Macaca mulatta: one gene and its partner. The main gene of each other region encodes a partner of the protein of the gene in region 2 in a complex. Links are inferred from orthologs where the notes say so. Each region holds a gene or a part of one and is shown on either strand. Other genes may lie near its edges.

What was found.
Region 1: SATB1 (region 2) and HOXB2 share a complex: the UniProt entries of both Homo sapiens proteins name them as parts of the nuclear protein complex. The link is inferred for Macaca mulatta from reciprocal best matches to the Homo sapiens genes SATB1 and HOXB2.

What each region holds. Positions count from the first base shown.
Region 1 is NC_133421.1:61,463,918-61,468,527, reverse strand, and holds HOXB2 (homeobox protein Hox-B2), read right to left. Parts: upstream 2,992-4,610; 5' UTR 2,439-2,991; coding exon 2,051-2,438; intron 1,940-2,050; exon of another isoform or gene 1,251-1,939; coding exon 568-1,250; 3' UTR 158-567; downstream 1-157. UniProt on the Homo sapiens protein: Sequence-specific transcription factor which is part of a developmental regulatory system that provides cells with specific positional identities on the anterior-posterior axis.
Region 2 is NC_133407.1:30,132,029-30,135,839, forward strand, and holds part of SATB1 (DNA-binding protein SATB1), read left to right. Parts: intron 1-1,805; coding exon 1,806-2,260; intron 2,261-3,811. UniProt on the Homo sapiens protein: Crucial silencing factor contributing to the initiation of X inactivation mediated by Xist RNA that occurs during embryogenesis and in lymphoma.

The DNA of each region.
Region 1 (4,610 bases), on a different chromosome or scaffold from region 2:
AATCGGGTCACCTTTGTACCACCCGGACTTCGCCGGCCCAGGAGGCTTTGCTGCCACATGGGCCGCTGAACCGAATCAACTTCGCACAGGTGCTGGAGGGGTAAGGACCGGCCTTGGGGCCGCGGGGAAAGAGGTTAAGTCCCAACACAAACACTCGTTTTCGTATTATAAAGACATTTATTTAATCTATGAAAATAATGTACAATAAATACTTTCCCCTTTTCCTATTATTAAAGAATTTTAATAAATTATCTACAGTCTAAAACATAAAAAAGAGGAAAATAAGTCCCTCTAGTTATTTTTAAGAAAGTCCCCCTAGAGTTTAATTATTCCTGAGATTTCATTGGAAGGAGTCTACCAAACGGAATTTTTCTGTGTGAATTTTAAAAGATGCCCGAGTGCCCAATATTTTAGAAGAAAAAAGGGAGTGGATTAAACGCTAATTCAGTAATACCTGAATTTTAGGAAAACACATAAGTCTATGCGACTGGGGGTAGGAGAGGCTCGATTTTTCCAGTAGATGACCAAGGAGCGCGGGGGTGGAAAGGACCGGGAGGAGGAAACGGGTTAGGGAAACTGCAGGTCGATGGCACAGAGCGTGCTGGTGAAGAAGTCCAGCTCTTCCTCGGAAAAGGGGACGGGGCTGTCGAGAGAACCCTGCAGGCTAGGGGAGAGGCCTCCGGATAGCTGGAGACAGGAGTCGGCCGCGAAGAAGTTAAGGTCGGGAAGGAAAGGCGAATCCTGGCGCTCCGGGAAGACATCTTCTGGCAATGGTCCCGGCTCCGGCCCGCCCGCCCCGCGCAGCGCGCAGCCAGGGCTCGGCGCGCCCGCGCCCTCTAAGCCACCGGCTAAATGTCGGGGGTCCGCGGCGCTTAAGGCCCCCGGCACCACCTCCGGCGGGTGAGAGCAGGCTTCCCACGCCGCCCGCGAGGCGGAGGGGCCGCCCGGGCTGACCGCGGGCTCCTTGACAGGGTCGCCGGTGTCCTCCAGGGCGCCCGGGCAGGCAGGCTCCCCATCCGGCGGCTCTTGGTGCTGCGTCTGCCGCTTGTGCTTCATGCGCCGGTTCTGGAACCAGACTTTGACCTGCCTTTCGGTGAGATCCAGCAAGGCTGCGATCTCGACGCGGCGTGGCCGGCACAGGTACTTATTAAAGTGGAATTCCTTCTCCAGTTCCAGCAGCTGTGTGTTGGTGTAAGCCGTGCGCAGCCTGCGCGCCCCGCCGCCACCAGCCTCCGGCAGTCCCAGGCCATCTGCAGGGAAAACAAGCTGGGCGTCAAAGCGGGCAGTGTACTCAGCCCAACCTTAGTTCGGACTAACCCATCCGCCAAAACCAGTATCACCTCTCCCCTTCCTCGCCACCCCACCCCCGCCCCCACCCCACAGCGGCTCGCTTTCACTGCTTTTGGGTTTTCTTCTCTCCCTCCCTAGTCGACAGCCCCGGCCCAGGTCACGGCAAAGCATTCAGAGCCGCCCACGGGCCACGCAGGGGGCGGAGAGCCGCTCCCTTTGGCGCCGAAACCTCAGATCCCCCCTCCCAAGCCCTCCCAGTGGACCCCTCAATTCGGAACTTTCCAACTCAACCGGAGCGAGGGTCATAAAGATTGTTCTTCACCCCTCTTCCTCCCTAGCTCTCAATTCTTCCTCTTCTCCTAGAGTTGGGGCAGAAAGGACCGAATCTTTTTCTGCTTCTAGAGTCTATCCCAGCAACAACATATTCATTCCCCTACACAGATACGGATGAAAACCTCAATCAAATCATTTTCTTCTAGCAGAAAAAAGGCGTTTCCCCAACCAGCTTTCAAAATCAGCTGTAGGGAGAGAGAGAGAGAGAGAGAGAGAGAGAGAGAGAGAGGAAAAAAAAAAAAAAAAAAGACGCTGGCAGAGGCCAGGCTTGTCCCCCAGTGGGATATTCTTCTTCCCCATGCCGGGAATGGACGGGGTAAGGAACCCCAACAGGCTTGCCACCTTTTTTTTTTTTAACCTCCTTCCACTGCTTTTTCTCCCCCTCTTGTAGGGTGCCCCTCACCCCACCCCCACCAGGCTTACCGACCTGCAGGCGATCCGACCCCGGAGGCCGGGACAGCGGAGGCGGCCGGGGAAGGAGACGTGGCGGATTGGCTGGGTTTCTTGGCGGATTTCTTCTCTTTCATCCAAGGGAACTCGGGGGCCGGGGGGGCAGCGGGGAGCAGCGGCGGTGGCGGCGGCAGAGCAGGCCCATCTTCGGCTCGCTTTTGGCTCCTGGGTCTCTGAAGGGTGGAGGCGCCGGGCTGGAGGCTGGGGAAGGTTTGCTCGAAAGGAGGAGGAGGAGGAATTAATGTCGACTCCTTGATTGATGAAGTTTGAAATGTCTCCAAGACAGCGGGGAAGGAAGTCAGACACTCGGCGAGCGATGGCTGGCTGTTTATAAACCCAATCTCCCTCTCAAATTCAAAATTCATGGCTTTCAATGGTGGGGGAGGGGGCTGCTGGGGGGGGCGTCAGGAGGGAGGATCGGAAGGGACCCCCCCTCCTGCCCCCCCCAGATTTATGTAATGGAGCGATTTTGGGAGGGGGAGATTTCGGTCTCTCTCTCTTTTTTTTTTTTTTTTTAAATTTTGGGCCTTTATATTTGTATATTGCTGATAAATACAAGCGTATGGGGACTCTCTCTATTAAACCCAGGACTCCGGCGAAATTACAGGGAATTCGTGGTCACGGGACCGGTCTCCGCCAATCGCTCGTCTGGGCCTGGTGGAAAACAGAGAGCATTATTTGCTTTAATTGATTCAAAAACACCAGAGGACCATGACCTGGACACCATGAGCCCCCATTCCTACACCAGTGCCTCACACGCTCTCTCCCCAGTGCCTCCCTTTCTCCAGAAAAGCTAGAGAAACCACTTCCTCATCCCTTTCGGAGGTTAGAAGGTTTCAGAAGCTTGGAAAAGAAGAGACTCTAAGGGAGAAACCTTCCTCTTTTCCAAATGTTTTAATAGAGTAAATTAAGGCTTTCCTTTCGTGGCTTACGTGGCCAGCAGCATCGTCTTCCCTTCTCCCCTTCCCCAAGAAAAGATGAGTGAGGATCCCTGCGTTGGAGGAAGAGGGAGTCGAAAGAGGCTTCCACTCTTTGAAAAAGGTCAGTGTTAAGGTGCAAATAAGAAAGAGATTTATAATCATCAGCACCACTATCCCCATGTTAACCCTCCAAAAGCAACAGTTAAATCTTGGGAAATGGACAGGAACTCCCAGGCGGACACATAAGAGTGAGATGGAGCATGAGGGGCATTTTTGGGCCTCTGGCCTCCATCGCTGTGTGGCCTGGGTTCTCGTCTCTGCCCAGTGTTTGCAGCACTGCCTCTTCCCCTTATGTCCCCCTGCTTTCCTCACTTTCAGGCATCCATGCTTCTCTGTGACACCTCCCTCCCCCCGAAAACAAGCAGAGTCTAAGATGTGCATGTACCCACTCAAGCCTCAAGCTCATATCTGTATCCATATCCAGGGACATGAACAAGAACTCAGGTAGCCACTGATTTAACTTAGAGCACTCTCAAAGTTCAGATCAGCGTATGTGTGTGCATGAATGTGGTGGGGAGCTTTTCCCCTAGGACAAAGAGACTTTCCCTCCCATTTTTGCCATTGTGCTAGTTTAAAAAAAAAAAAAAAAAAAAAAAAAATCCCTGACAAGGAAGAATTCCCTGAAAATGGCGCGGGTGGAAATAATGACCACTGAGATGATATTCCATTTCTGGCTCCTGAGGGGAAATGCTTTTAAAATTTATTTTATTTTGAGGAGACCGAGATAGTCTGAAGTTTAGAGTGTTGTAATTTACTATAGAAAGAGGGCACAAGACTCTAAGCCCCAAGCAATTGGTGGGAAACTAGGCCTCAAAGCAGAAAATGAAAAGTCGATCTGGGGGAAGATTTTTAAATAAGTGGGTCAGAGGGACGGAGAGGAGATGAGGCGATCAATCTTAGCCCCCTGACAGCTCCCTCCGATTGCATCAAAGAATTTGGCTCTTTGGGAAAGCAGAGGGAACAGCCAAAATTTCACATCTCTTAAAAAGGCCTGGGGGTGGGGGTGGAGGTGGGGGTGCAAAAGAGAAAGGTGATTCTGGGAGAGCTGGGAAACAGATGGGAAATGGGGACAGAGGGAAAGCGCTAAGTTGGGTGGAAAGTTTGCCTGGAGAACTCCCACGGCTCTGGCCTCCCCTCCCCCTCCTCTCTCTCTGCAGCCCAGCCAGGAGAAGGCTGGTTAGCAGAGAAATGGCAACTGAGCCCGGAGCTGGAACTAGAAACTTTCTGTCAATGTAACATCTGCGTGGGTGGTGGTGAGTATTTAAAAAGAAGAGCAGAGAAGTCTTGAGTAGAAGCATGAGGATGGGGGAGCGGAGGATGAAGAAAGGGGAGTTGGAGGTGGGGGCTGCAGGGACCGGGGAGTCATGCTCTGGAGGGCTGAGAACAGAGAGAGCTACTCTGACCTGGGCAAAGTGGCCAGCAACAGTAGTGTGCAACTCGGCTCCAAATAAAACAATTATTGCCGTTTAGAGGTGTGGATGGGGCATAGAAGAATCCAAATAGTAAGCAGTGTCTGGAAGTCATGCAGGGAGGCCTGAGAGTGGCTTCTCCCTCTGG
Region 2 (3,811 bases):
ATAGCTCTAACTCCCCAGCCCCCATGGATGGGCACTTTGATAAGCATACTGCTTTACCATTCATACCAGAGCAATTATTGCATCATTTCTAAACTTTTAATTCCAAGAGAGCATTCTATCTTAACACATAACTTTAGGTGAATATTTGTTATGCAAGAAGTACACTAAAATTATCTGCAGTGTAAAATGACAGATAAAAGTTGTGTATGGTACCTAAGCATTTAGATGACGGCATTTTCTCCCTGTTGAGTTTGTTAATGTTCACAAAAGCAAACACTGTGATTAAGGTTAATGTTTTAATTTTTATTAATATTCTCTTTCACCTACTTGTACCCTCCAAAACATATATTTTAAAATAATACAGGAATGGGCATTATGTCCTGTTTTAAATCTATTTCTGTTTATTTCTTTACATTCATTTAATAACTTTTTTTCTAAAAATTTTTTAAGCAATAAGAAACCCAAATTTTGAGCATGTTTTAGCTCTTAATATTTGAAGAAAAACCATCCATCTACCAAAATGGATTCTTTGCCTTTTATAGCTTAAGGCTGTAATGAAGACAATGCATCATTTTTGGAATAATTGCTTGAATTACTACTCTCTGTGAATGGCCCACTTGGGCTGATATCACTGGTAGAAACTGAAGGTTTCTTCCCCAATTCTTAGTTATATTTTGCATATATCAGGAGCTATAGCACTATGATAAAGTTCCTCTAAATGTAAAACCTGCATATTTAATGAAAAGAGAATTGATGATTAAAATCAAACTAGAGTCTATACATGGGAAGTCTGTGTACAATTTGGAAACTCCTGTTTATGTACAGCTTCATGCTCAGCCCTTCCAGCCAAGAGCATCGAACCAGTCTCCTGCTCGTACAGAAAAGCATTTACACACTTAGAGATGATGCTCAGCCAATCCATATGAGGAACCTAGCCAAGGGAGAAGCATTCATCCTGGGTAGGTGGGAATAAATTGCAAAATCATGACAGCATCACCATCGTACCAGAACGATTCCCTGCAAGATTGTCTTTAGCATCTGGTGATGGCCATAGCTTCCTGAAGAAAAACATTTGGATCTTAGCAACACTGGGTATGCTGGCTTGATATACAATAAATCACTTGCTTTATTCTAAAAAGTATTTCCAGATATACCTACTGCCCATGATGGTTAGAATTAAAATGAAACAAGGCATATATGATATTCAGCAAGCATTCAATATGCACTTACTATTATACCCATTTTTGTTTATTACGTTAACTACTTCTATTCACTGCTAGGTAAAAATTGAAAGTAGGTAACATTTTACGTCATATTTTTTCTTCTACACCTTTTTCCTAGAGTACTAAAGTTAATGAATACCATGAGAATATATTTGTAAAATTTTTAGTCGCTTATTATAAGTTTATTTTCTCAGCTAACTGTTTTTAGTTGTCATTAAGCAAATGACATTCTTTTAGAAGCCATTTTTTAAAAAATATTGCTTATAAGCCTTCTTGGGGTAATAAGTGAGAGTGAACAACTAGTCGGAAAGAATTTGGATATAATTGATTTTATGCCTTAAATCTAAACCACTTTTTAAAAATGAGATTAGGAGTGCTGTCCCACTTCCAAAGTTTGTAGAATTGTTCAGAAAAGGAGAGAAAAAACACAGCCTGGTAAGTTGCAACTTGAAATTTTCTTGGTTTTTTTGGATTTGGGGTGTGCCCTGTGCCTACCCTTTTTTAATTTAGGAAGTGATTAGAAATCTTTATCAATGCTAATCATTGCTGGCTAAATGTGATTTTACTTTTTGTCCACTTTAGTTGAAATGGATAGTCTTTCTGAGCTATCCCAGCAAGGCGCCAATCATGTCAATTTTGGACAGCAACCAGTTCCAGGGAACACAGCCGAGCAGCCTCCATCCCCTGCGCAGCTCTCCCATGGCAGCCAGCCCTCTGTCCGGACCCCTCTTCCAAACCTGCACCCTGGGCTCGTATCAACGCCTATCAGTCCTCAGTTGGTCAACCAGCAGCTGGTGATGGCTCAGCTGCTGAACCAGCAGTATGCAGTGAATAGACTTTTAGCCCAGCAGTCCTTAAACCAACAATACTTGAACCACCCTCCCCCTGTCAGTAGATCTATGAATAAGCCTTTGGAGCAACAGGTTTCGACCAACACAGAGGTGTCTTCCGAAATCTACCAGTGGGTACGCGATGAACTGAAACGAGCAGGAATCTCCCAGGCAGTATTTGCACGTGTGGCTTTTAACAGAACTCAGGTCAGTTGTGTTTGGTAAATGGTTCTGTGTTGTCTCCCCTTTTCTCTCTCTTTTGTCCCATCTATAACTGAAGTTTATTATTTTACTTCTGTACTAACATTTTTTCTCTCTCTCCATGTGATCATATTACCTATTCCTAGTGGAGCCTCAATTTTATCACGCCTTTTCCTATGATACACTTCTGAATCAAGGGAAACCTATGTGCAGATTGATCCCAATTCAGGGGCTTTGAAAGACTAATTAAATGTCAAACATGTTTTAAACTGGCATTGCTTGTGCTTTTATATAATGGAATCTTAAACTATAGTAGATAAGAAAAGTTTCATGACTCGGTCAAGGCCATTGGCAGGATTCCAGGCTTCTAGCCTATCGTCTTTCCCATGTATGTTATGTTACTGCCCATATCAAACTTAGGTATATAAATGTTCCCTATTAAAGTTCCACAGCAGTGTTGTCATCATCGTCGTCGTCGTTGTTAACACCTTGGAAGCAATAATCCACTTAATTCTAAGCAATCATTTTGAAAAAATACTATATGATGTATTAACATAATATGTTGGTAAGCTTTGTGCTCTCCCTCATGCTGTTGTCTTCCAAACTTCATTGTCTAGACCAGGCATCAGCAAACTTTATTCTGTTATCGACTAGATAGTAAATATTTTAGGTTTTGAAACACATAAAATCTCAGTTACACTGTAGAGTAATAAAGCAGCCACAGACAATAAATGAATGGCACCGGGTATGGTAGTATCTCGGTAAAACTATTTACAAAACAGGCCATGGAGTAAGTGTGGCTGGCAGGCCTTAGTTTGCAGACCCATTTGTAGAGACCTCACTGCCTGCTTATTGATACCCCTAATGTGCACAACTTTGTCTTCCTGGCCCAATTCCTGTGAAGATACTGTCTATCAGCGTGGAAGATGTTTAAGAGGGTCATGGGAAAAAAGTGATGTATATGAGAGGTGACAAGATAAAGATATTTGAGAAGCCCTAAACGCATTCTATTGAACTGTGAATGAGAATAATTTTTTTCTTTGTTTTGAAACTAGTATGATACATTATATATATGGTGTTTATTTTTGGCCCAGGTATACTAAAACAAAACAAAACAAAAAACCAAACCAAAACAAACAAACAAACAAAAAAAAGAAAAACCGCATAACTTTAATTAGAATGAGGACATTATGCCTTTTCAACTTTTTTGTTTTACCGCTGTTCTTTCTTTTGTCAATTTATCTTATTTTTTGGCCTGACTCCCATTTTCCTTTCATATTTAAGTTACTTTGTTTATTATGTGATTATGATTATAAGAATAAAATTCTGGTACAGAAATAATCTAGTATTAATTCCTAGTTGGCAGAGTTTCCATACCTAGGAGAATCCCAGCTGTGACTTATTTTTGGCTTGCCTTAACTAGATGGGGAGTTAGGAGACCTGACAAAGCCTCTAATTCAGTGTTTGTTTTCAGTTGATTCATCTTTTTTTTTTTTTTTTTTTGTACGTTTGTCTATTTTTAAAAGGGCAGTTGCACAAGGCTATGTCTCAGGTTAA